Linked DNA regions of Macaca fascicularis. The protein of the gene in region 1 interacts with the protein of each later gene in a pairwise test. Links are inferred from orthologs where the notes say so. Each region holds a gene or a part of one and is shown in the gene's direction. Other genes may lie near its edges.

The links.
Region 2: the proteins of LDOC1 (region 1) and ZNF774 interact in binary tests that used the Homo sapiens proteins (3 or more experiments, as listed by UniProt). The two-hybrid records come from large-scale screens. The link is inferred for Macaca fascicularis from reciprocal best matches to the Homo sapiens genes LDOC1 and ZNF774.
Region 3: the proteins of LDOC1 (region 1) and PRPF31 interact in binary tests that used the Homo sapiens proteins (3 or more experiments, as listed by UniProt). The two-hybrid records come from large-scale screens. The link is inferred for Macaca fascicularis from reciprocal best matches to the Homo sapiens genes LDOC1 and PRPF31.
Region 4: the proteins of LDOC1 (region 1) and ATF4 interact in binary tests that used the Homo sapiens proteins (3 or more experiments, as listed by UniProt). The link is inferred for Macaca fascicularis from reciprocal best matches to the Homo sapiens genes LDOC1 and ATF4.
Region 5: the proteins of LDOC1 (region 1) and GNL3L interact in binary tests that used the Homo sapiens proteins (3 or more experiments, as listed by UniProt). The two-hybrid records come from large-scale screens. The link is inferred for Macaca fascicularis from reciprocal best matches to the Homo sapiens genes LDOC1 and GNL3L.
Region 6: the proteins of LDOC1 (region 1) and HDAC4 interact in binary tests that used the Homo sapiens proteins (3 or more experiments, as listed by UniProt). The two-hybrid records come from large-scale screens. The link is inferred for Macaca fascicularis from reciprocal best matches to the Homo sapiens genes LDOC1 and HDAC4.
Region 7: the proteins of LDOC1 (region 1) and UTP14A interact in binary tests that used the Homo sapiens proteins (3 or more experiments, as listed by UniProt). The two-hybrid records come from large-scale screens. The link is inferred for Macaca fascicularis from reciprocal best matches to the Homo sapiens genes LDOC1 and UTP14A.

What each region holds. Positions count from the first base shown.
Region 1 is NC_088395.1:147,495,032-147,499,175, forward strand, and holds the start of LDOC1 (protein LDOC1), read left to right. Parts: upstream 1-1,344; 5' UTR 1,345-1,453; coding exon 1,454-1,894; 3' UTR 1,895-4,144. UniProt on the Homo sapiens protein: May have an important role in the development and/or progression of some cancers.
Region 2 is NC_088381.1:74,891,079-74,894,578, forward strand, and holds part of ZNF774 (zinc finger protein 774), read left to right. Parts: intron 1-3,316; coding exon 3,317-3,423; intron 3,424-3,500.
Region 3 is NC_088393.1:61,920,153-61,923,652, forward strand, and holds part of PRPF31 (U4/U6 small nuclear ribonucleoprotein Prp31), read left to right. Parts: intron 1-100; coding exon 101-161; intron 162-2,712; coding exon 2,713-2,796; intron 2,797-3,397; coding exon 3,398-3,495; exon of another isoform or gene 3,496-3,500. UniProt on the Homo sapiens protein: Involved in pre-mRNA splicing as component of the spliceosome. Required for the assembly of the U4/U5/U6 tri-snRNP complex, one of the building blocks of the spliceosome.
Region 4 is NC_088384.1:12,124,644-12,128,587, reverse strand, and holds ATF4 (cyclic AMP-dependent transcription factor ATF-4), read left to right. Parts: upstream 1-1,313; 5' UTR 1,314-1,506; intron 1,507-2,110; 5' UTR 2,111-2,202; coding exon 2,203-2,428; intron 2,429-2,529; coding exon 2,530-3,359; 3' UTR 3,360-3,444; downstream 3,445-3,944. UniProt on the Homo sapiens protein: Transcription factor that binds the cAMP response element (CRE) (consensus: 5'-GTGACGT[AC][AG]-3') and displays two biological functions, as regulator of metabolic and redox processes under normal cellular conditions, and as master transcription factor during integrated stress response (ISR).
Region 5 is NC_088395.1:54,542,337-54,545,836, forward strand, and holds part of GNL3L (guanine nucleotide-binding protein-like 3-like protein), read left to right. Parts: coding exon 1-158; intron 159-247; coding exon 248-390; intron 391-705; coding exon 706-842; intron 843-3,001; coding exon 3,002-3,129; intron 3,130-3,500.
Region 6 is NC_088386.1:135,022,447-135,025,946, reverse strand, and holds part of HDAC4 (histone deacetylase 4), read left to right. Parts: intron 1-608; coding exon 609-866; intron 867-3,500. UniProt on the Homo sapiens protein: Responsible for the deacetylation of lysine residues on the N-terminal part of the core histones (H2A, H2B, H3 and H4).
Region 7 is NC_088395.1:136,173,568-136,177,550, forward strand, and holds the start of UTP14A (U3 small nucleolar RNA-associated protein 14 homolog A), read left to right. Parts: upstream 1-1,183; 5' UTR 1,184-1,235; coding exon 1,236-1,261; intron 1,262-2,718; coding exon 2,719-2,794; intron 2,795-3,983. UniProt on the Homo sapiens protein: May be required for ribosome biogenesis.

The sequences.
Region 1 (4,144 bases):
TTTTTTTTTAGAGATGGAGTCTCGCTTGGTAACCAAGGCTGGAGGAGTGCGCTGGCGCTATCTCGGCTCACTGCCACCTCCGCCTCCCGGGTTCAAGCGATTCTCCTGCCTTAGCCTCCTGAGTAGCTGGAACTACAGGCACCTGCCACCACTCCCCGCTAATATTTTGTATTTTTAGTAGAGACAGGGTTTCACCCTGTTAGCCAGGATGATCTCGATCTCCTGACTCGTGATCCGCCCTCCTTGGCCACCCAAAGTGCTAGGATTACAGGCGTGAGCCACCGCGCCCGGCCCTAATTTTTGTTTTAAAGGATTCCTGTGGCTACTCTATGGAGAATATACTATAGGAAGAAAAGAGTGAAAGCTAAGTGATTAGTTGCAGCAGTCTGGGTGAGAAAGGCTGGGGATCAGGGTGGCAGTGGTAGAAATGACAAGTCATGACTGAATTGGCAATATATTTGAAAGCAGAGCCAACAATTCCTGTCGGCTCTAGGATCAGGGATCCGTTTAAAGTAGAAAAACAAAATTATTTAAAAACACAAACATCTTAACAGTTCATTTTTAAGTACAGAATAAAACCCAGTGGCCAAAGGCACTAACAGCAGGACAAGAAATAGAGAATCAAAGATATGTGGGATGCCTGCAATTGATTATTGGATGCTCATTTTGCAAAACTTCTTTATATCCTGCTACTTAGGTTTGTTTTTTTTTGTTTGTTTGTTTTAAGGGAGTATGCCGTATTATTCCCCTACTAAAGAAGTCACTGTTTAAATACTGCCTTTTTCATGAAAGGCAGGAACCCCTGAAGGTCTTCATGATCCTAAAAGGAAGTGTGAGTCCCACAGTGCAGCCAGCAGTGTCAATACTTCTCTGAGTGAGATTTAAACAAGAAAGAAAATGTGTTAATAAAACATCACGCCAAGAGAATCTAGTGGCCACAGACCCACGAAGGAACAACTGAGTTGTGAGAGTTGCCTAGGTAGAAGGGTGGCTAATCCTTTCAGTTTGAACAAATTTGCCTTCTCTGAGACCAAACTCAGCGCTCGCCAGGTCCTCTGCTAACGCAGGCCCCACAACCAGGAGCTAGGGGAGCCTACCCCAGCCTTTAACTGCCCGCCTAGAGACCTACCACAAGCCGGTGGTTCAGCGACCCAGTGCATCCTTTTCCTGGCCACGCCCTCTTTGTCTAAACCCTTCCCATCCCGGCCACGCCCCCACGCAGCCGCGGCCCCCAGTCTGGCCACGCCCCTCCCGCGCCGCGCCGGCGCACCATCCGTCCGAATGGCCTCGTGGGCGGAGCTTGCGTAGCCTCCCGGACCCCGGCGCGCACCGCCCCCCGCCCCCAGCCCCTGGCCATCGAGCGTCTCCGTGGACACGCACTTCCTGCGAGGCCTCCGTGCGCACCTTGGCCGAGCCGAACCGAGCCGAGCCCTGTCCTTCCAGGCTGTTCGCAATGGTGGATGAGCTGGTGCTGCTGCTGCACGCGCTCCTGATGCGGCACCGCGCCCTGACCATCGAGAACAGCCAGCTCATGGAACAGCTGCGGCTGCTGGTGTGCGAGAGGGCCAGCCTGCTGCGCCAGGTACGTCCGCCGAGCTGCCCGGTGCCCTTCCCCGAAACGTTTAATGGCGAGAGCTCCCGGCTCCCCGAGTTTATCGTGCAGACAGCGTCTTACATGCTCGTGAACGAGAACCGATTCTGCAACGACGCCATGAAGGTGGCATTCCTAATCAGTCTCCTCACCGGGGAAGCCGAGGAGTGGGTGGTGCCCTACATCGAGATGGATAGCCCCATCCTAGGTGATTACCGAGCCTTCCTCGATGAGATGAAACAGTGCTTTGGCTGGGATGACGACGAAGACGACGACGACGAGGACGAAGAGGATAATTACTAGGCCCTCGGGCCTCGGGGGGAGGGCCCTGCACGCCGTCACCCCCTCCCCGCAGCCCTCACCCCGCCAGGAGCCACTGCTCTCCCCCTTGCCCTCCGGTCCCCTTCCCTACCCGCGCCCGTCTGCTCTTTCTTCATTTCTCCGTAGTGCTTGTCTTTGTTCCAGGAATAGTGCTCCAGTTACCTGCTGCTGGGGTTGGGGCTGGAGCCTCACTCACTCGGAAGTGCTTGGAAGTGTCATCTACCCTGGCCATCCCGGGGATCCCTCCCCTGCTAATCTGAACTGTGTCCTGAACCCCAGCTATTGGCCAGGCCCCTGTTACAAACTGCGCAGACCACCCATAGCCCTGCTGCTGCCACCTGCCCTGCTGCCAGGCTTACATCTGCCCAGAGAACTATGCTGCCACTTCACATCCACTCACCACATCCCACCTACAGACTACCGCCTTTCGAGATCAGGACCAACCTGGAAAATGCCAGAGTTGGCTCTGCCTCTTCGGACATTGATTTGGACAGCTCACCAACCCCTGAAGAGGCCAATCATTCAGCCTGGTTAGTTTTCTACCTACTCCGAGTGTCCTCCCCTGCCATACCAGATTGCTGCAGGGGCGCGGTGTGCCTGACAGCCAAATTGTTGATATTTCTTTTTTCCTATGCACTGGTTTTACACAGCTGTCATTTTTCTTTCAAAATTGCAGCAGTCCCACAGATGTATGCATTTGGACAAATAGTACTAAAAACAAAACAAACAAGCACTCAGCCCAGCTCCTCAATACTACCTGGAAAAAGCATTGGCATTATTTTCAATAAATATCAAGCACTAAAAAACGAAATGACTGTCTTTTAATAGTTAAGTGCTATCACTGACCTCTAGAACTGTCACTGTGACTACCGTTATTCCCATGGAAATCAGGGAATACAACCAATCCTAGGAATCCCTGCTGTCAACTCCAGGCTGCTGGGGACAGCTACCTCAGGGCTTTGTCAGGGTTCTGATGCTTCCTTCACCAACGCATTTCTTAAAGCCCTGGCAAAGGGTGTGTTCTCTGGGTCCTCCAGGGTGGCATGGGTAAGGGTTGGCTGAGCAGATGGCAAAGAGGGCAGTATTAATAATTAGACCATAACAACAGGCATAAACCAGGACATATATATGTATTGCTCCTAATTCTCTGAGCTTTTGGATTCCTTAATATTGTGCCAGGGAAGTTCTGCCCCTTAATCCTTATTGCCTATATGCAGCTGTTGAGTTCAGGCTCCAGAGAGCCAACATAGTACATTGTCACTTTCAAACTCCAAATAGCCAACATGTCACTTACAGGTGCTCTAGCTAACATTAAGTCCCAGATCCTGGGCAAGTGCATCCATAAAGATATACCCTGATCTTAACAAACATTTCATCCTCCTTGGGCAGACATCCTTAGAATTTCCACTCATAGATGTGTCCCAGATTCCTCCCTATGGAAATTAGCAAGATGCTTGGTTATCTCTTAAATCAGACTTTGTACTGCTATCTGGGGGCTATGCTGAGATCTCTGGGCCTGGAGGGTTCAGAGCAGTGAAGGGGGTGGCTGCTGAGAAGAAACTGCATACCTGTGTGAGGCCATTGCCCCAGGTTAAGTCATTGAAATGTTTAATGCAGAGCAGCTTGGTTGGGGATTTGACAGGACTACCTCTTAGAAAGGTTTAGGAGGATGTGAGGGGTTCAGAGTTCTCATTTATATCTGTCCAGATGTCCTCCCTCATTGTACCATGTCTGGAGCCAACTTCACTTTATAACCTTTAATTAATTTAGATAACACATTTCCTTACTGTTTAAGGCCTTTTGAGGCAAGATATTTCATTTGTACTGGTAAACCTCAGTGTTGATTAAATGAGATATGGGGCTTCATATTAATCACCTGATAGGTGTGGATTATATGAGATCATACCCATGCAGCATTTAGAACTTTCCCTGCTACATGGTGAGCACTCAGTAAACCATGGGCTGTTACTCCTGGGCCTGGGGACAGAATTCTCAGGAAGCAAGTCTCTGGCTCTGAGCGTGGCTTTAGTAGGAAAATGTCAGCGTAAAGAGGAGCAGAGCAGGTTCAGCGATAATGGAAATGAGAGCATGATAAGACCCCATTTACTTTTTGAAGTCTTATATGAAGCAAGAAACAAAGCTGTTTACGTGGTGAACAGGCAAAGTTCAGGGTAGGAATTATATCTCACACCTAGGATAGCTGTTTCTGGAGGGTGGGGACAGGGGTGAGTA
Region 2 (3,500 bases), on another chromosome or scaffold:
ATGCATTTTATGGTTTGTAAATATCTTTGCTATTTATTGTCTTTTTAATATCTCATCATAACTTTTTGATATATGTATTACTGTCCCCCTTTTCCAGCCTGGGTTGAACTCTCACCTCTGCCACTTAACTTTTGAGACTTCTGAGGTCTTTGTGGAAAAGGAGGTAATTTTTTCTGTCACTTAAAAACAGGCTGGGTGCAGTGGCTCACACCTGTAATCCCAGCACTTTGATAGGCCGAGGTGGGTGGATCACAAGGTCAGGAGTTCAAGACCAGCCTGGCCAACATGATGAAACCCCATCTCTACTAAAAATATAAAAATCAGCTGCGTGTGGTAGCAGGCGCCTGTAATCCCAGTTACTCTGGAGACTGAGCAGGAGAATCGCTTGAACCTGGGAGGCGGAGGTTGCAGTCAGCCGAGACCGTACCATTGCACTCCAGCCTAGGCAATAGAGCAAGACTCTGTCTCAAACAAACAAACAAAATACCTCCAATTGCTCTTTCCCAAATATCCTGGCTACCCTTCCTTCTGCTTTACTTTTTTTTTTTTTGTGGCAGAGTCTCACTCTGTCACCCAGGCTGTAGTGTTGTGGTGCGATCTCGGCTCACTGCAACCTCTGCCTCCTGGGTTCAAGCGATTCCTGGATAATTTTTTTGTATTTTTAGTAGAGATGGGTTATCTCCATGTGGGCCAGGTTGGTCTCAAACTCCTGACCTCAAGCGATCCGCTCACTTCGGCCTCCCAAAATGCTGGGATTACAGGAGAGAGCCACCGCACTCTAATTTTTGTATTTTTAGTAGAGTTGAGGTTTCACCATGTTGGCCAGGCGGGTCTTGAACTCCTGACCTCAAGTGATCCACTGGCCTTGGCCTCCCAAAGTGCTGGGATTAGAGGCATGAGCCACTGCACCTGGCCTACTTCATCTATTATACAAGTAATGTATACTCATTAAAGCAAAAGACAATCAAAATGAAAACAAACGTCATCCCTAATCCCACCACTGAAGAGTTACTATCCTACCAGCATTTTTCTAAGCATGTATATGATTTTAAAACAAGCACAAAAGGATAATATTGGGATTATACTGTACATTCAGCTGCACATTCTTTCTTCCATGTTGTATCATGAATATATTTTGACAACAATAAACATCTTTCTTTACATCACTTAAAATAACCACCTAGTATTTTGTTTTATGGAATACAATATTATTTTGTTGTTGAAGTCAAACATTAGATTGAACCATATATCTGACCTTTTTTTAACCTATAAAAATAGCAATTGCCTGAGCTACTTGGGAGGCTGAGGCAGGAGGATCCCTTGAGCACAGGAGTTCCAGGCTGCAGTGAGCTATATAATTATTCCTTTGTTGTGGGACATTTAGGTCATTTCTAAATTTTCACCAGGTTGTGATAAACCTCTTTTAACTCATTTTTTAAAAGTGTTTTTTTATTGAAGTATAATTTTATCATTTCCTTAGAATTCTCAGAACTAGAATTGGTAGGTCAAAGAACAGATACATTTCTAAGGTATTTAATACTTTGCAAAATGCCTTCCAAGAAGATCGAATCAATTGATTTATTCCCACAAACATTATATGAAAGTATCCATTTCTTTATATTCTACCTTTCACAGTGGGTATAATAATTTAAATAGTCTGGGGCTGGGTGTGGTGGTTCATGCCTATAATCCCAGCATTTTGGGAGGTTGAGGCAGGAGGATCACTTGAGCTCTGAAGCTCAAGACCAGCCTGGGCAACATAATGAGACCCTGTCTCTACAAAAAGTTACATTAGCCAGGTGTAGGGGCTTGTGCCTGTGGTCCCAACTACTTGGGAGGCTGAGGTGAGAGAATCGCTTGAGCCAAGAGCTCGAGGATGCAGTGAACTGTGATTGTACCAGTGCTCTCCAGCCTGGGTGACAAAGCAAGAGCCTGTCTCAAAAACGAACATGCACACAAAACACAAAAAAAGAGTCTGGGAAAAATAGCAATGATAGTTAACATTTATTGAGTCTTTTTTTTTGGAGATAGAGTCTGTGTCGCCCAGGCTGGAATGCCGTGGTGCAATCTCAGCTCACTGCAACCTCCGCCTCCCAGGCTCAAGCAATTCCCATGCCTCAGCCTCCCAAGTAGATGAGATTACAGGTGTGCACCACCACATGTGGCTAATTTTTGTATTTTTAGTAGAGACAGGGTTTCTCCATGTTGGCCAGGCTGGTCTTGAACTCCTAGCCTCAAGTGATCCATCTGCCTTGGCCTCCCAAAGTGCTGAGATTATAGGTGTGAGCTACTGCACCTGGCCAATGGATCTTATTGTTATCCCTTTTTTTTTTTTTTTTTTTTTGAGATAGAGTCTCACTCTATAGCCCAGGCTGGAGTGCAGTGGTGTGACCTCAGTTCACCACAACCTCTGCCTCCCAGGTTCAAGCGATTCTCCTGCCTCAGCCTCCCAAGTAACTGGGACTACAGGCCTGTGCCATCATGCCCGGCTATTTTTAGTGGAGACGGGGTTTCACTATGTTGGCCAGGCTGGTCTCAAACTCCTGACCTCGTGATCCGCCTGCCTCGGCCTCCCAAAGTTCTGGGATTACAGGCGTGAGTCACCGTGCCCGGCCTCTTATCCCTATTTTATTGATGAAGACATCAAGACGCAGAGTTTAAGTAACTTTCTTAAGGCCACACAGCTTGTAAGAGGCAGGATTATGACTCAAACCCAGGCAGTGTGAATGCTGAGTTTGTACTCATTATCTCTACACTATATTGCCTCAGTGTATCATTGTTATAATGGAATTTCTTTGATTATAGTGAGGTTAAACATTTTTCATATATTTATAGGCTACTTAACAAGTGTTTATCTTTTTCTCGTGGCTTTTTTGACTGCTGCCGTTCTGGGAAAATTTTAAAGCCCAACATTATAGTTAACTTCCTTTATTCTTTCTAAGGGTGAGGTCATGGCAGCTTTGTTTCTGATCAAACCCTCTCCATATTTAACTTTAGCCTTGTGCCTTCAGAAATGGTTATTGTATTTACTTATTCAGAGTTTCTGTCAACTGAGTCTGTTTTTTTTTTTTGTTTGTTTTGTTTTTGTTTTGTTTTGCTTTGTTTTTATGGGAGGAAAAGAGCTTTTTTTTCTTAGTATTTTGGGGAAATCACCCTGTTTTATCACTGTACCATGGCTGTACTTTTAATGAGACCAAATACATGTTAGAGTTTCCCTGGTGTTCTCTCATATCTAGGCAGGGAGTAGGGCTTCGATTTTGGTCAGGCCTTGTGTGATTGACTCAGACTCACATCCTATGTTTACATTCCTGTGTAGAATTTCCAGGCCTAGTGTAATCTCCCAGTTGGAGCAGAAAGAAGAGCCATGGGTCCTACCACTCCAAAACTTTGAAGCAAGAAAGATCCTGAGGGAAAGCCACGCAGGTGAGATGTGAGTGCTCCCCAGTGGAAGGAAATCTAGCATTTCAGCCTTGTTTAGATGAAGAATTTGGAATGCCGCC
Region 3 (3,500 bases), on another chromosome or scaffold:
TTCCTAGCCAGGGGGCTCTAGACAGAATCTCCCAGAAGGGGGTGACACAGGCTTCTTTGGGAAGAGTCCTGGATTCTGACTCTCCCCTCCTTTCCTGCAGTTTGCTGAGATTATGATGAAGATTGAGGAGTATATCAGCAAGCAAGCCAAAGCTTCAGAAGGTGCTTCCTCCCACTCTGTGCCCTTCCCTATCTGCTGTGTCTCCTGCCAGGCCCCTAGGCTCCCTGGCTGCTTGCGGCTGGGTGTATCTCCCCCGCAGCCTTTTCCAGAGCCTTCTTTCTTGTTTGTTTGTTTGTTTCTCCCCACCCCCTTCCCTTTTCCACTAAACATATACTGCATTGCGAAGCTCATGCTTCTTACGTCCTTTCTGTGTGCTGAGCCTGGTCATGCTGGGACTTAGCTTGAGGGTTCCCAGACTTCACTGATGCACATGACCAGTTACAGGGTTTTTGCCACATCTATAAGCCACTTGTCCTATTATTTGCTTAACATATTCTTTGAGTCTGGGACTTTTTCTCTTAAATTTATCTAAGAAGGAAGCAAATTGCTACCATGAATGGAAAACTGGTATCATTTGCAAAGACAAAGTCACCGTATAAAAATAGACATACAATTATTAAAGAATCACCTAAAACCTTTTCTTACTTCCAAATTGAGAGAATACTAGCTTATCTCGTGAGTGCTCAGACTCACTCTTAGGAGGGCAGTCCTGTTACCATTCCTATTCTTTTTTTTTTTCCGTTTTCCTTGAGACGGAGTCTCCCTCTGTTGCCCAGGCTGGAGTGCAGTGATGTGATCTTGGCTCACTGCAACCTCTGCCTCCCGGGTTCAAGTGAGTCTCCTCCCTCAGCCACCTGAGTAGCTGAGATGACAGGTGTGCACCACCACGCCTGGCTATTTTGTATTTTTTAGTAGAGACGGGGTTTCATCATGTTGGCCAGGCTGGTCTCGAACTCCTGACCTCAAGTGATCCGCCCACCTCGGCCTCCCAAAGTGCTGGGATTACAGGCGTGAGCCACCGTGCCCGGCCTTCCCATTCTTCTTGAATGGAATTTGTTGACAACAGGAAGCCATGGGAGGTTTCTGGGGGAAGAAGTGTAGTGGGAGGGCAGAGTTTTGGGAGACTCACTGCTTACTTGCTTTAAGGTTTACCTGGGCACCCAGTTGAATTGCCCGGGTCTTTGCGCTCAACGTGCTCAAGGTCTAGTGGAAGAGGCAGGCCGGGTTCCAGACAGCTGTGAGTCACTGCTGGAGTCTTAAGGACTTAAAGAGCCTTTTGAGCATCAGGGTTAGGAACACATTCTGAAGCCACCCTGCTTGGGGTCAGGTCTGAGCTCTGCTGTCTACTGGCGGTGACATCAGACAGTTAGTATTTGTATGACATTTAAACACAACATCTTTTTGTTTGTTTTTTGAGACAGGGTCTCACTCTGTCACCCAGGCCAGAATGCAGTGGCACGATCACAGCTCACTGCAGCCTTGACCTTCTGGGCTCAGGTGTTCCTGCCTCAGCCTCCCAGGCAGTTAGGACCACAGGCATACACCACCATGCCTGGCTAATTATTTTTTCTTTAATTATTTGTAGAGATGGGGTCTCCCTATGTTGCCCAGGTTGCTCTTGAACTCCTGGGCTCAAGCAGTTCTCCTGCCTCAGCCTCCCAAAGTGCTGGGATTACAGGTGTGAGCCACTGTGCCTGGCCTCTTATTACTAAAGCACAAAGAAGGGTTTTCCAGAAACAGACATGGGGTAAGGGATGCTCTGGGGAGAGGGAACAGCATATGCAAAGGCCAAGAGGGGCCTTGCATGGTGGCTCATGCCTGTCGTCCCAGCACTGGGTGGCCAAGGCTGGTGGATCACCTGAGGTCGGGAGTTCGAGATCAGCCTGCCCAACATGGTGAAACCCCATCTCTACTAAAAATACAAAACAAGTTAGCGGGGCATGGTGGCGGGCGCCTGTAATCCCAACTACTTGGGAGGCTGAGGCAGGAGAATCACTTGAACCCAGGAGGCGGAGGTTGCAGTGAGCTGAGATCGTGCCACTACACTCTAGCCTGGGCAACAAGAGTGACACTCCATCTCAAAAAAAAAAGGCCAGGAGGAGTGGGTGTCTGGGGCACTGTGACCAGTCCTTTATGGCTGGATGAGAGGATGGGGTGGGAAGGGTGGGAGGCCAGACCGCAGAGTTGCTGAGTCAGCAGAGAGGAACTGGGCAGCTCCCTGTGTGCCAGGTGCTGTCCTGAGTACTCGGGTGTGGGTGTAGATAACGCAGGCACAGCACTGGTCCCTGCAGAGCTTCTGGAGTTGGGCAGGCCTTGAATGTCAGTCTAGGGACTTGGTCATTAGCCTTGGGGCTATGGGGAGCCATAGGAGGTTTCAGACGGACGGTCAGTTCCAGGGCAGGTAGGGTCAAGTCTAGACTGGTGTGGAGGGAGAGGGATTGGAGGCAGGAACACAAGTTCAGGGATGTCTGCAGATGTCAGCCTGTCGCCTGCTTTACTCTTCAACCCCTCCTTCCTGACCCCCTCCAGCCTCGTCCTCCGCCTCCTCCAGCTGCAGGATCTGGGAGGCAGACGTCAGCCTGTCCCTGGTTTACTCTTCAGCCCCTCCTTCCTGACCCTTCCCAGCCTCATCCTCCGTCTCCCCCAGCTGTGGGACCCGAGAAGGGGTAGGGATTTAGATCCTCACACCCATGCCACTCCGTGTCCTCACAGTGATGGGACCGGTGGAGGCAGCGCCTGAATACCGCGTCATCGTGGATGCCAACAACCTGACCGTGGAGATCGAAAACGAGCTGAGTGAGTGCTGGGGGCAGGCGGAGACAGCCCCCTGTGACGCCCCTCATGCCCCCTCCCTTCCCCACGGGCCTTTCCCAGGGTCCTGCCGCTGAGCCCAAGCTCAGATCGAGGTTCACCTGCTGTAACGGAGTGGTGTAAGTAAGAAGGAAGTGCGTTCTCCTTCACGTATGAGTCTGAGCGAGCACTCGGGGACGGCGTGGCTCCCTCGCGTATGAGTCTGAGCGAGCACTCGGGGACGGCGTGGCCGCTTGGCTGCCTGTAAGGCCCCAGCCCTTTCCATCTTGTTGGTCGGCCACCTGCCTCGTGGTGCGAGGGGACTGCCCCACGTCCAGCCGTCGCCTCTGCATTCCCACCAGCAAGGCACTTCTTTTTTTTAAGAACATGTCACTGCAGCTCACATTTTACAGACCAGAACTAATTCCCCTGGTCACACCTAGCGGTAAGGGCGGCTGAAAAATGGAGCCTGTATGCTGGTGCCCGTATGCCAGGCTGCAAGCCAGGGCTTCAGTTACTAAAGGAAGAAGGGGACGTGGGTGTTAGGGCCAACCAGCAGAGTCTGCCTCCCGTCTCACCTGACACCCGCCTGTCCCGTTTACCCTAGACATCATCCATAAGTTCATCCGGGATAAGTACTCGAAGAGATTCCCTGAACTGGAGTCCTTGGTCCCCAATGCACTGGATTACATCCGCACGGTCAAGGTGAG
Region 4 (3,944 bases), on another chromosome or scaffold:
ACTTGTGTGGCCCGGTGAAATGGAGGCGGAAACAGTTTCTACCTTCACAGGGCCTGACTGGAGGGGGCTGAGGACGATGCGGAGGTTTCCTGTATTAAAACAGACTACCCCCCCTTCCCAACGCACAACCCCGAGCACGTGGCCGTGGGTTCCCAAGCGCCTCTCCTCCCAGGGCCATGGGCATGACCACTGAAAAGCGGGTTAGGCCGGGGAGTTCAGAACCCGGAGTGAATCGAAACTACCCCAGGTAGATGGCAGCGAAGAAAATTCTGTTCTTAGGGGAACGCAATCTTCGGACACCAGAAGTTCCCCTATGATGCTATTCTGTGGCAGCCTCGCACTTGAGCCGGATGAGAATTGTAAAAACCCAGGTTGGGCGACAGGACGGCGCGTCTTCCCGGCTCCTTTCCAGAGTTTAGACGGAGCCATGCAGACTCAGCTGGCCTTTGAGTGTAGGTGGGCAGGCCCGAGGCGCCCTCTCGAGACCCCTTCAACCTCCCGGGGGCAGCAACACCGTGTCGGCTATGAATGGCGTCTCTGGAAAACTCAGGCTTGGAACAGGTAACCCCGCGGTTTCCGCAGGCCAGAAATTAGCCCCCGCAACCGAAGGACGCGCAGGCTGGGAGTGGCGGCGGGGCCGCCAGTGGCGGACCTCCACTGAGGGCGGCGGGACCCGACCGCAGGGGCTGGGCCCTGAGGCCACTATGGGGTGCGCTAGGCTAAGGTCTCCTGGGGGCAGAAGCCAGTGCGATTGTAGCTGGCCAGCAGGCTGGCCGGCCTGAGGCCTGGCAGAGACCCGAGACCCCGACCCTTCCCACGCGGACTCCGTGATCCCTCTCCCAGCAGCCGCCCACCTGGGGCCCTGAGCCAATAAGAGCTCGAGGTATATATGACTCACCGTGCCTGGGCCAATCAACTTGACGCGCGCTTTTCGCCAGCACCTCGCGCGATAACTTGGCGTCCTCGGCCTTCACAATAAAAACTCTCCGCCGGAAAACGACCTCTCCCCGCCCACCGCGCCGACACCGGAAGCGAGGCGTGTCTGCGAGATCACTCCGCGCTCCGGCGGCGAAGGAAAGAACGGACTCTGATCATAGAAGTAAAGTAGTGCACCTCTCTCGTTTCGTGAGGTCATAAGAACAAACACCTTTTCTCGTCACAGCTACGCGCTGGGCATAAACGGTTGGGGCGTCAAAGGGAGGGAAACGAGCGGGCGGGAGGAGATGGTCACGTGGCCGTGGCGGAAGGATGCGTCGGTGCTGCGTCCCCTTAGAGACGAAGTCTATAAAGGGCCGGCGGGCGGCTGTTGCGGCCATTTCTACTTCGTCCGCCCACAAATGTAGTTTGGTTCGCACGTGTGCGCCTTCCCTCCTCCCCGCCCGCAGGGTCCACGGCCACCATGGCGTATTAGGGGCAGCAGTGCCTGCGGCAGCATTGGCCTTTGCAGCGGCGGCAGCAGCACCAGGCTCTGCAGCGGCACCCCCCCCCAGCGGCTTAAGCCATGGCGTGAGTACCAGGGCGGGTCGTCCAGCTGTGCTCCCTGGGCCGGCGCAGGTTTTGGGTTGGTGGGGTGCGGCCTGGGGCCCAGGGCGGTGCCGCCAAGGAGGAAGCGATTTTACGAGCGCCCGGGACGCGTGGTCTTTGCTTGGGTGTCCCCGAGACGCTCGCGTGCCCGGGATCGGGAAGGCGCATTCTGGTGCCAGGACTGCTTCCACAGGGGCCCTGCCGCCCTCGGACCCCGAATCCCCCAAGGGTCCCAGGGGTCTCGGCTTTCCCCCCCCGCGAAACGTGGCAAGAACCAAGATGGCGGCGGCAGGGCGGCGCCGCGGGCGTGAGTCAAGGGCGGGCGGTGGGCGGGGCGCGGCCGCCCTGGCCGTATTTGGACGCGGGGACGGAGCGCCTTCCTCTTGGTGGCCGGTGGAAGAATCGCCTGGTCTCCGTGAGCGTCCATTTTGTGGAACCTGAGCCGCAGCAGGGAGGGGCGGATGCAACTGCCCCGTTGCCGACTCTGTAGATGGCTGGACTAGAGAAGTCCCGCCTCGTAAGTGGAAAGATGAAATTCTCAGACCAGCTAACCTCTAATGGGAGTTGGCTTCTGATTCCCATTCAGGCTTCTCACGGCATTCAGCAGCAGCGTTGCTGTAACCGACAAAGACATCTTCGAATTAAGCACATTCCTCGATTCCAGCAAAGCACCGCAACATGACCGAAATGAGCTTCCTGAGCAGCGAGGTGTTGGTGGGGGACTTGATGTCCCCCTTCGACCAGTCGGGTTTGGGGGCTGAAGAAAGCCTAGGTCTCTTAGATGACTACCTGGAGGTGGCCAAGCACTTCAAACCTCATGGGTTCTCCAGCGACAAGGCTAAGGCGGGCTCCTCCGAATGGCTGGCTGTGGATGGGTTGGTCAGTCCCTCCAACAACGGCAAGGGTGAGTGGGCCACCACCACATCGTCTGGGTGGGATCTAGGGTTAGGGGCCTGTTATCTTTGTATCTGACTCACTTGGCCCTGTCATTCAAATCTTTTGCAGAGGATGCCTTCTCCGGGACAGATTGGATGTTGGAGAAAATGGATTTGAAGGAGTTCGACTTTGATGCCCTGTTGGGTATAGATGACCTGGAAACCATGCCAGATGACCTTTTGACCACGTTGGATGACACGTGTGATCTCTTTGCCCCCCTAGTCCAGGAGACTAACAAGGAGCCCCCCCAGACGGTGAACCCAATTGGCCATCTCCCAGAAAGTTTAACAAAACCCGACCAGGTTGCCCCCTTCACCTTCTTGCAACCTCTTCCCCTTTCCCCAGGGGTCCTGTCCTCCACTCCAGATCATTCCTTTAGTTTAGAGCTGGGCAGTGAAGTGGATATCACTGAAGGAGATAGGAAGCCAGATGCCACTGCTTATGTTGCCATGATCCCTCCGTGCATAAAGGAGGAAGACACCCCCTCAGATAATGATAGTGGCATCTGTATGAGCCCGGAGTCCTATCTGGGCTCTCCTCAGCATAGCCCGTCTACCAGGGGCTCTCCAAATAGGAGCCTCCCATCTCCAGGTGTTCTCTGTGGCTCTGCCCGCCCCAAACCTTACGACCCTCCTGGAGAGAAGATGGTAGAAGCAAAAGTAAAGGGTGAGAAACTGGATAAGAAGCTGAAAAAAATGGAGCAAAACAAGACAGCAGCCACTAGGTACCGCCAGAAGAAGAGGGCGGAGCAGGAGGCCCTCACTGGCGAGTGCAAAGAGCTGGAAAAGAAGAATGAGGCTTTAAAAGAGAGGGCGGATTCCCTGGCCAAGGAGATCCAGTACCTGAAAGATTTGATAGAAGAGGTCCGCAAGGCAAGGGGGAAGAAAAGGGTCCCCTAGTTGAGGGTAGTCAGGAGCGTCAGTGTGCTTGTACATAGAGTCTCTGCTGTTGCTGTGTGTTGGAATAAATTATTTTGTAGGGAAAGTACTTGTGTGGATTCTTTTTCTGGCAAATTAGCCGAGTGAGGCGCCACCCACCCATCCCAAACTGGTCATAACATTCCTTGTGAGATCTGGGGAGGAGGGCAGTCCAGGACTGAAGATGGGTACCCAGAGTGGGAACTGCTCGCCCTGCTAGGTGTAAGCCACGATGCCTGATGACTCATGGGGCCATACAGCCAGATAGTTGGCCAACTGTAGCAAGTTGGGTCCTTTACCCAGAGGTGAGTTCGCTGGTTGTGTAGGGAGGAGGCTGGAGCTCTCTGGGAGGTTGGGAGGGAGGGACAGCCTGGGCCTCCACCTATTTATTCAAGAGGGCTTCATGCCAACAGCTGTCGCCTGAAACCCTGGATAAGCTTGCACAGTCCTTGAGATAAGCACACAAGATTAGTTTTCACTTGTTACCCTGAGTTCTGTAGAAGCGTGTTCCTGAAGAAAGAAATGGCTCCTTTTCGGAATTGATGCTGAAGCAGGACAGGAGCTGAG
Region 5 (3,500 bases), about 93 Mb from region 1:
ACCTGGACAAGTTCATCCGGCTGCTGGATGCTCCAGGCATTGTCCCAGGGCCCAACTCAGAGGTGGGCACCATCTTGCGTAACTGCGTCCACGTGCAGAAGCTGGCAGACCCTGTGACCCCAGTGGAGACCATCCTGCAGCGCTGCAACCTGGAGGAGGTCTGCAGCAGAGCCCTGGCCGATGCCCTGCCCTACTCCAAGGGCCCTTCATTCTTCCTCATGACTTCTCTCCTTCCTCCCGTCACCAGATTTCCAACTATTATGGCGTCTCTGGGTTCCAGACCACTGAGCACTTTCTTACGGCAGTGGCCCACCGTTTGGGGAAGAAGAAGAAGGGAGGCTTATACAGTCAGGAACAGGCGGCCAAAGCTGTCCTAGCTGACTGGGTGAGGTGAGGAGGAGGTTAGGGGTAAGGGTGAGGCCCACTGGGAGCCTGGCTCCACAAAGGCTCATCTGTGCTCATTGCCGTTGGGGCAGCTTGACTTCCTGGGTCTTGGGGCAGAGGATGGCCAAGGTGCCAGGTCATGTCCTGCTCAAGACTTTATGCCCAGTGATTATCCAGCAACTCAACTCCTTCTTGTTCAGAAGCCACTGTCTGGGTTTTCTTGTTCCCTTGCTGTTTCTGGCCTACAAACTCATCGTCTCTTGGATTGTCATTGGTTCTCTCAGTGACAGCACCACTAATCTCCCCTATTTCCCAATGCAGCGGGAAGATTAGCTTCTATATACCACCACCACCCACTCACACTCTGCCCACCCATCTCAGTGCTGAGATTGTTAAGGAAATGACCGAGGTCTTTGATATCGAGGATACTGAGCAGGCCAATGAAGACACCATGGAATGTAAGTGTGGGCAGGGTGGGTCCACTTGGTCTTGCACTAGTGGGGCCACGCAGACCTGACAGCAAATCCCATGTTTGACCTCCCGCTTCCTTGGCCCTACTTGGGCTTTGGGCAAGTTGCTTAAGCAGCTCGAGGCCTAATTTCTTTTCCTGCAAGGTGGGGAATTCTAATCTGGCCCTGGCAGGGAGGGTGGGGGGTGGGGGGAGGGTGGTTGCGAGCTTTTGGTAAATACGAAAGAAGGTACCTGGTGCCCACTGAGGTGCTCTGGAAATGTGAGGCTCCATTCCTGTCTCTTGGGACCCGGAATGGACTGAGATGTTCTCTCAAAAACTCTCTAATGTTGCCTTAGGCTTTTTCACAACCATTTCAGGTCCATTTCTAGATTTTCCTTCTTACTCCCATTGGTGAATAAGGTACCCAAGTCACAGAAAGCTGATATTTGCCAAAGGATATCAGCAGAGGTGCCTTTGACCTGGTTCTCCTGCCCTGTTGAAGACTCTTCCAGCTCAGAGGAGCTGGGTGTCCAAAAGTATAGACTGCCTGGATTCAAATCCGAGCTTTGTTTCCTTTTTACTGTGTGATGCTAAACAAATTACTTCACTTCTTTGTCTCAATGATGTTATCTGTAAAATGGAGACAATAAGTCCACCCGATAAGGTAGTTATGAGGATTTATTTAATATGTAAAAGACATTTAGAACAACAGTGCCTGGCATTTAGTAAATAGATGCTCAGTAAATGTTAGTTTTTATTAAGATGCTTATTTGCTGGGGAGCGGAGATGTGACTCTCAGAAACTCCTGAGAATGTTTGCTCTCCTCAGATACTACTCTCTGCAGCCCTGGCTTGTGGCTCCCTGCTTCATTCTCTACACTGCCTAAGGAAGGTATCCAGTGCCCTCTGGGCTTGTCTGTAGACATTATGGGGTAGTTGAGGAAGCTTTGGCTAGCCTGGCTTCTAGATACTCTATTTTTTTCTCTTGAGGTCCAGTAGTTTTCCTTCTCTGGGTCTTTTAGTGTCCTTGTATTACACACGAGGTTAAGAGGACTTGCCTGCTTTCTAGTTTTCCCATGTGGCTTTGGGCAGGTCATCCCCCTGTCTGAATTTGTTTCTTCTTCTTCTTCTTCTTCTTCTTCTTCTTTTTTTTTTTTTTTTTGAGGCAGAGTCTTGCTTTGTTGCCCAGGCTGGAGTGCAGTGGTATGATCTGGGCTTACTGCAATCTCTGCCTCCTGGGGCCAAGTGATTCTTGTGCCTCAGCCGCCTGAGTAGCTGGGACTAGAGGTGTGCACCACCATGCCTGGCTAATTTTTTTATTTTTAGTAGAGATGGGGTTTTGCCACGTTGGCCAGGCTGGTCTCGAACTCCTGGCTTCAAGCAATCCACCTGCCTTGGCCTCCCAAAGTGCTGGGATTACAGGCATGAGCCACTGCACCTGGCCTTAGTTTCCTCCCCTGTTAAGTAGGGCAGTTGAGAAGGGTTTGAGCTTATGTTCTTATGATGATGCTTGACCCTGGCTGGATGTGAGGGCAAGAGGTGCTCCATCACTGAGAATGCATTTTGGCAAAAGATTGAGGTCTGAGAAATTGAGAAGACAGTGAGGAACAGGTTAGTGGTGAGCATTTTCTGGAGGAGGTGGCCCTAGTGCTGGATCTTGAAGGGTGAGTAGGGATTAGAAGGCCAAGTGTAGGGAATAGGGGCAAAATTATACAAGCAGGCATAAGGGTAGTGGGGCACAGGGCAGTGGGCACATCTGAGGGTTGCAGTAGAGGCCAGCTCCAGGCAAGGGACCAGAGAGAGGAGGAGAAAGTCTGGTCCTGGGGAGGGAATCCCAGTGCCTGCCATTTACAGAGCAGCATCTTGGGCCAGAGCATTACAGACATCTGCCATGTCTCACAGCAGCCCAGTGTGAAGAGGGCTTGTGGAATTCCCATTTTCCAAATGAGAAAGCTGAAGCTCTGAGTCCAGCTCCCAGCAAGTGAATGTCCTACTGCAAAACCCATGCGTTTAATTCTTAGTCATGTGGCCTCTCAGCAGGAGTGAAACGTTCCTGCACCTAACTTCCCTGGGAAGCATCTGTGTATCCTTTTCACTGAGGCCTGACCAGGGGGGCTGGCTACAGAGGGTAGCCAGGGCCCTGACAGTGGTGTTGGTTGTGTTAAAGGCTTGGCCGCTGGAGAATCTGATGAGCTGTTGGGTGACACGGACCCACTTGAAATGGAGATCAAGTTGCTCCATTCTCCGATGACGAAAATAGCAGATGCCATTGAAAATAAAACCACCGTGTATAAGGTACCTGTCATCTTTGTTCATGGCAACCCTCTTCTCTCCCCAGGGCTCTGGGAAGTGGTCAGTCCCTTTTACCTGCCTTTCGTGTGGTGAGATGTGGGTGGTTCACTTGCTGCCTGTGGGCTTCTGGATGCCTGGCCTAGTGCATCCTTTACCAAGCAATGACAGGTCCAGGAAGCAGGCATGCTCTCTAAGGCAGCTTTCCCAGCCCTGGTTCTAGCCCACAGAATAGGTATCACTGTCTAGCCACCCAGTTGTCCAACTTGCAAATGACTCTTTCTTCTCCCTAACTAGTACCAGGATTTTTTTTTTTTTTTTTTTCTTTTGAGACAGAGTCTCACTCTGTCACCCAGACTGCAGTGCAGTGCCGTGAT
Region 6 (3,500 bases), on another chromosome or scaffold:
TAGTATTCCAGGAGGGAGGCCATGACATCCCTAGGATTCAGCAGGAAGGGAGGTCCTGGAGTGTTCCCAGGATCCGGCAGGAGGGAGGTCATGGCACATCGGTGGGACCCTGCAGGAGGGGAGGCCGTGGCGTGTCAGTGGGCTCAGGCAGTGAGCATTGTGGACGTCGATGTCTTCCGCTGGGTGGGTGGTGGCTGTTTCTCTCAGCAGTTGTGGCTATGAGGTCAGCATTGGCCTCTCCTTCACACTCAGGCTCCCCTCTGCAGACTCGGTTGACACCTGCGGCTTCTTTTCTGTTTCTCAGTGCCTGACGCAGAAGAGGTGCTTAGTAAACCCCAAATGTTAGTCAGCCTCCTTCCCTGGGCCAGGTCACCTTGACCCCGGGCTGGGGTCCTGATGGGCATTATTTTCTCAGCACCGTGGATAGCGCCCAAGTGCCTGTTGTGCGGGAAGATGAAGGCGCCTGCTGGCCTGTGGCAGGGCGATAAGATGCCTTGAGTCCCTGATTGTCTGCCCCAGAGGTGGGTGGTTGGCAGCATCCCTCCTCCTGTCTGATGAGCTCAGAGGCCCCAGCTCTCTGTGCTTCATGTATTTCCTCTGCCTTGCAGATCATCCCGAAACCAAGCGAGCCGGCCCGGCAGCCGGAGAGTCACCCAGAGGAGACGGAGGAGGAGCTCCGTGAGCACCAGGCTCTGCTGGACGAGCCCTACCTGGACCGGCTGCCGGCGCAGAAGGAGGCGCACGCACCAGCTGGCGTGCAGGTGAAGCAGGAGCCCATTGAGAGCGATGACGAAGAGGCAGAGCCCCCTCGGGAGGTGGAGCCGGGCCAGCGCCAGCCCAGTGAGCAGGAGCTGCTCTTCAGACAGGTGACTACAGGCAGGGAGGGCACCAGCAGGCTGGCACGCACAGCCACCCTCGGTCCCCGGGCGGCATCTTCTGTGTGGTGATCACGGGAGCTGCAGGGCATCCTTGTGCTGTCGCTGTCCAGTGTCTCACCCGTCTTGTCCTGGCCAGTGAGGGAGGTTGATGTGGCTTCTGTTTTGTCCCAGCTGTTCCTAGGGATTCGAGATGTTTGCCCACTGCGGGTGGTTACGTAACTGCTTTCCAGCCATGCACAGGCCCCAGAGAATGGGTTTCCTTCCTGTTTGTAGGCTGTAAATGATCACAGCATCCACGTGTTAGTGAGGTACAGCATGCTTTTTAAAGAAGTGAAGGAAATAGAGGTATTAATTGATCAAAAAGACAGGCAGGGTCTGATCAGAAGTCAAGACCTTTTGTGGCCCAGTGGTGCTAATGAGCAGCCCTGCAGATCCAGACAAGACGGGTACGATCGTGGCACCCAGAGCCAGTAAGGCTTCAGGGCACTGACACCCAGTAACCAAATGCACAGGAGCCTGATGAAGAAGGCCAGTGAATGATTGGTTAATTTCCAGTGAAACATAAAACTTCTGAGTCAACAGAAATACCTGAGGCATTTGGGCAGCCAGCTGGAGCCCCGTATCTGCAGCCAGAGTGTCCTCAGAAAGGTGGCTTCCTCCCTATAGGCAGGAAGCGAGCCTGAGGAACCACAGCTGTAGGATTTGATTCTGTCCTCCAGCAGCAGAGCTGCTGCCTCGGCTGCAGGAGCCACTGGATCATTCCCTCCCTTGTCTCTGGACTCCATGCTGGCCGTGCCACTGAGCACCTCCCCAGCTTCCTGACTGCCAGCTGTGTGGCCAGAGCTGCATCTCTACCCCCAGCAGCACCCTGGAAGCCAGGAGCAGGACGCCCTGCAGTAAACTGTTCCCTTTAATTCTCAGCTGCAGGTCTTGGCACCGAATGAATCAGTGTGGGCCCTTGTATCTGGAGCACCTAGACCCAAGCCTGCCGCACGGGGGGTCAGGTCTCAGTGGTCTCCAGAGGCTTCTGGGCCAGGAGCCCTTCTCTACCAAGCTTCCCCCGGCGGCGGGCATTGGGTGCTATTTCTCCTTTTTGTTCAGAGGGCGGCCTCTCTCTAATTTCTGGGCCGTCTTAATTAGCACCCCGGGCACTAAACACTACACAGCCCAGCAGCCTGGCAAAGACAGAGAGAGAAAGCCCCGGGCCTCTCTGGCGCACACACGGTGCTTCGTGGCGAACACTCATCCACAGGTCCCGTCTGACAGGCCCGGGTTTGGGGCCTCTTCCTGTGGTCGGGCCTTGAAAGTCGATGAAGGTCTGAAATTCAGTGTGCTGTTATTATGCGGATAAGAAGTGGGAAACTATTTACATTAATAATTTTTAGGACTAGTTTCTCATAGATCGGCGTTCACTTTGAAAAAAGAGGCTTGTTATATTCCAAGCGTGAGATGATGATTAGAAACAATTTCTGTTCTCTCTGGAGAGTAATAGGCAGAACTCCTTATCAGGGAAACTTGGTAGTACACGGAGCAATTTGCCGAGGTAAACCTAAGGCGGGACACCTTCCAGCCGGTGTCCGGGAGGATTGCTTATTAACCGCTTAACCACGTGGGGCCCACAGCAATCCCAGCTGAATTTGGTTAGCCGCAGACTGGGGGCCTGTGGGTGCTGGCTCCTACTCCAGCTCCTGCTCCAGCTCCTCCGCCTGTCTCGGGGCTCCCCTCTTCTCTGCTCCCTCCTGGCTCTGATTCCTTTTTTTTTTTCTTTTTTTGAGACGTAGTCTCACTCTGTTGCCCAGGCTAGAGTGCAGTGGTGCCATCTTGGCTCACTGCAGCCTCCACCTTCTGGGTTCAAGTGATTCTTCCCCCTCAGCCTCCCGAGTAGCTGGGACTACAGGCACCTGCCATCATGCCTGGCTAATTTTTTTTTTTGGTAAAGACAAGGTTTCACCATTTTGGCCAGGCTGGTCTCGAACTCCTTACTTCAGGTGATCTACCCGCCTCGGCCTCCCAAAGTGCTGGGATTACAGGCGTGAGCCACCTGGCCTGATTCCTAAAGACAAGACAGATCAGAGCCTGGCCAGGCAGCTCTGGCTTCCCCCAGTGCTGGCAGCACAGGGCTGGACTCCGCCTCTCATACAGGAGCTGAGATGTAGGTACCTGGTTTTCCACGTTCACAGGATTTGTTCATCAAAACTAAGACAGGATTGGCGCAGAGCTCCCAGCGAGGAGGCGCCCGGCTTTCTTTGTGCCTCGGCTTGGGTGGCAGGTCGCCGTGCTCTCCCTCAGCTGCTGTCTGGGGAGAGGCTAGGCAGCTGTGGCCTCATCTCTGCCCTGCTTCCTCCACTCCACTCTGCCTCGTATGAGGGTGTGCACCTCAGCCTGTTCCCAGAATCCCTTGGGGTGTCCCAGGCCCCTGACTAAGTGGCCTCCCTACACAGAGCCCAGCCCAGCCCCATCTCATCAGAGAGGCACATCCCCACCAGCAGGCCTGCTCCAGGCTCCAAGGGTCCTGGGTGCCTGGAAGCTGATGGGCTGTTTCTGCTTTTAGCCTGCATGAGGATGTGTGGAATGTGAGACCAGGGAGGGGAGCGGCTGCAAATGAAGCCGAGCTAGCACTTC
Region 7 (3,983 bases), about 11 Mb from region 1:
AGGGAGGGAGGGAGGGAGGGAGGGAGGGAACAGACAGTTATTAAATACCACACAAAGTTCTAGGAACCCAAAGACTGAGAGGTATCCATTTTATTTAGCAACTTTGGGTGTCGCTGATCTTGTCCAGAGCAATTTCTGTGGAATAATGGGGCAAAAGCAAAAATGGGAATGGATTAAAAGAATGAAAAGAATGTTCTTGTCTATTATTTTTCTACAATCATCATATATATATATATACACACACATATATTAGGCAGGGCCCAGTGGCTCACGCCTGTCATCCCAGCACTTTGCGAGGCCGAGGCGGGCGAATCACTTGAGGCCAGGAGTTCCAGACCAGCCTTGCCAACATAGCAAAATGCCATCTCTACTAAAAATGCAAATATTAGCCGAGCATGGTGGCAGGCGCCAGTAATCCTAGCTACTCCGGAGGCTTAGGCAGGAGAATCGCTTGAACCTGGGAGGCAGAGGTTGCAGTGAGCCGAGATCACGCCATTGCACTCCAGCCTGAGCGACACAGCAAGGCTCTGTCTCAAAAATAAATAAATTCTTAAAAGTTGATGGGAGAAAAAAAGTTGTTTAAAATAATTTTTTTAAAGTTGATAGGAGGTGAGGAAGCGTAGCTACTGACGGCCCATTCTTGGATAAAATATTTTGACTCAGGAAATGAAGAACAGAGCTGCAATTACAAGGGATCAAAAGATATTTTTCCTTAAATGGAAGGAAACTTGTTTTGTTCACCATCGGATCTCCGGGGCCCGGCACAATCTGGCCACTTAATGGGCATTCAATAAACCCCCGAGCTGGCTGGTGGCCGGCTTGCAGGACGCTGTCGCACAAGGACGGGCGCTGGAGTCTTTCCTTCTGGATTATGTAGGGACGAATGAAGGCGCGGGCTCAGTCCCTGACAGCGCAGTACCTTCGCCCTAAGCTAACCCACCCTGGGCCGCGTGGAAACCAGGGACCAGGAGGACAGACACCGGCGCACCAGAGAAATACGGGGTGGGTGGAGAAAAGAAAGCCCCACCCGCTGACAGCCGTTTCATCTCCAGCCTCGCCGTTTTACGCAGTCCCCTCCCTACACGGCTCCTGCTTCTCACACGCCTAGTACGCAACGGAACTGACGTGTACGTCGCGAGCGATTGACGGAAACAGAAATTGCTTTGCGGCCGGCACGGAAATTGCTTTCCTTCGGCTTCCGTTCTTGGTCCATGTGAGAGAAGCTGGCTGCTGAAATGACTGCGAACCGGCTTGCAGAGAGGTGAAGGGCAACGAGGGGAGTGGGGATTCTGGGTCTCGTTGGGGGCCGGGTTCCCCAGCTTTTGGGAAATGGGCGCCCCCTTTTAACAGATGGCAGTGGTTCCCCTCAAGAGCTGGCCACTTGTTCCTGTTTTCCGCGATCCAGCCTTTAAAGCCCTTTTAATTTCATTCACTTACTCCGCTCCTCAGCTGTATAGCCGCATCCCTGTTGGTCCTGATGCTGTTTCTGCCTCCCCAGCTCATTTACTATGTTTCACATTCCTCGTCACGTGACCCCTTTTTCTGCCTCTGCCGCGGCCCGATTTAATCCTCTGCGCAGGCAGTGCAGGCGTTATAAACTCCCCGAATCTTCGAAAGCTTTGCTGACTGGAGTCATCGCCACGTTTTGGCTCCTATGATGTTTTGTGCCTCCCCTCCCCGCCCCCGGAACTAAATGTAGTCCGTTTAGGAATGTTGGCTTTGCAAATACTAATAATATATGCTGTTAAGTAACGGTAAATTTTGTAATTTGTGGGTACCAGTCTCCCTAGTTAAGCACCTACTTTGCTAAGCAGGCCCCAGGGAAAATGGCTTACTCAGCTGCTTTCGACCTGTTTCTCCATTCCTGGGAACAAGTGATCAAGATGACACTTTTTTTTTTTTTTTTTTTTTTTTTTTTTTTTTTTTGAGACGGAGTCTCGCTCTGTCGCCCAGGCTGGGGTGCAGTGGCCAGATCTCAGCTCACTGCAAGCTCCGCCTCCCGGGTTTGCGCCATTCTCCTGCCTCAGCCTCCCGAGTAGCTGGGACTACAGGCGCCGCCACCTCGCCCGGCTAGTTTTTTGTACTTTTTAGTAGAGACGGGGTTTCACCGTGTTAGCCAGGATGGTCTTGATCTCCTGACCTCGTGATCCGCCCGTCTCGGCCTCCCAAAGTGCTGGGATTACAGGCTTGAGCCACCGCGCCCGGCCAAGATGACACTTTTGATCAGGCTGCCTTTTGATCAGGCTGCCTATCAAAGAGTCAAACATGTGGAGGATGCTTAGAAATATTAATCGTGAAACTGCCTTGCCTCCAGGGCTAGCAACAGCGTCTTTGGCCATATTATTCTAGGGTCTGACATTTTTACAGCTTCCCATAGGTCATAGGAAATGTTGTGCCAATCACTGAAAAGTGTTAGCTCTTTTACATGCAGTTTTGAGTCAGGCATCATTCCTGGAGGTGATGCCTGACATCAGTCTAAATTTCACGTCTTGACAAGTTTTCAAAGGCGTTCATGCTGCTTTATATATCTTCTGAGGGATAGGGCTATTCTGTGTTGAAGTTACAATGTTTACGAGATTGTTTTAATAGATTAGACATTGCTTCAAATAACAATATTTCTCTATTAAATTTCAACTTTTATTATAATTAAGGGATACATATACAGGTTTGTTACATGGGTATATTGCATTCACATTTCTTTGTTGCCTCTTTTAACAGCCTTCTGGCTTTGAGCCAACAGGAAGAACTAGTAGATTTGCCAAAAGACTACCTCTTGAGTGGGAGTGAAGATGAGGTGGGTGACAATTGCTAAACTGCCTTCAAAATTAGGGTAGAGAGCACATTCCTGGAATGGAAAGGTGTGACAATATTCTATGTATTTGTTCAGGTCTCTCAAATTAATTACAAATGGTTAGTGTTTCATATATAAGTTACTGTATCATATTAAGTGCTATAAGGATTTGGAAACTAAGTTACACTCACTACCCGCAAGTTGCATAAGTATAATTTATAAAACCAACGAAAACAGGCCCGGCTGGTGGCTCACGCCTGTAATCCCAGCACTTTGGGAGGCTAAGGCAGGGAGATAACCTGAGGTCAGGAGTTCAAGACCAGCCTGGCCAACACGGCAAAACCCTGTGTCTACTAAAAATACAAAAATTAGCTGGGTGTGGTGGTGTGTGCCTATAATCCCAGCTACTATTGAACCCAGGAGGTGGAGGTTGCAGTAAGCCAAGATCAAGCCACTGCACTCCAGTCTGGGCAATAGAGCAAGACTCCGTCTCAAAAAAAAAAAAAAAAAAGACTGAAACACATGGTCCTCATATGATATGATTTCCCAAGTTTGGATTTCTATAGAGCGTTATTTAATTATCTGACTGAAATATGCATATGTATTTTAAGCTGGATCTCCAACAGATGCTATAAGAATTCCAATTCTTTATTTCCCTTACAAAAAAACACTTTTTTTTTCCCTTGGGTTGGGGGCACACAACACATCTATTTTAATAACAAGGAGGGTGTTTTTTTTTGTCTATTTTTTTCTGCTTGTCGTGTTCTTCGTAGGAAAAGCCAACTTAACTTGGAGGCCGGGTGTGGTGACTCACACCTGTAATCCCAGCACTTTGGGAGGCCAAGGCGGGTGGATGACTGGAGGCCAGGAGTTCAAGACCAGTCTGGCCAACATGGTGAAACCCCGTCTTTACTAAAAATACAAAAATTAGTTGGGTGTGGTGGCACTCGCCTGTAATCCTAGCTATTCCAGTGGCTGGGGCAAGAGAATCACTTCCAGGAGGTGGAGGTTGCAGTGAGCTGAGATCACACCACTGCACTCCTTCCTGGGCAACAGAGCGAGACTCTGTCTCAAAGAAAAAAAAGCCAACTTTGTAACTGGCTATGACTTACACTATATGTCAGGGTTTCCATGTTAGATCATACTATATATTTTATACAGAAACACCATTTTAAGCCCTTTTTGTCTAGAA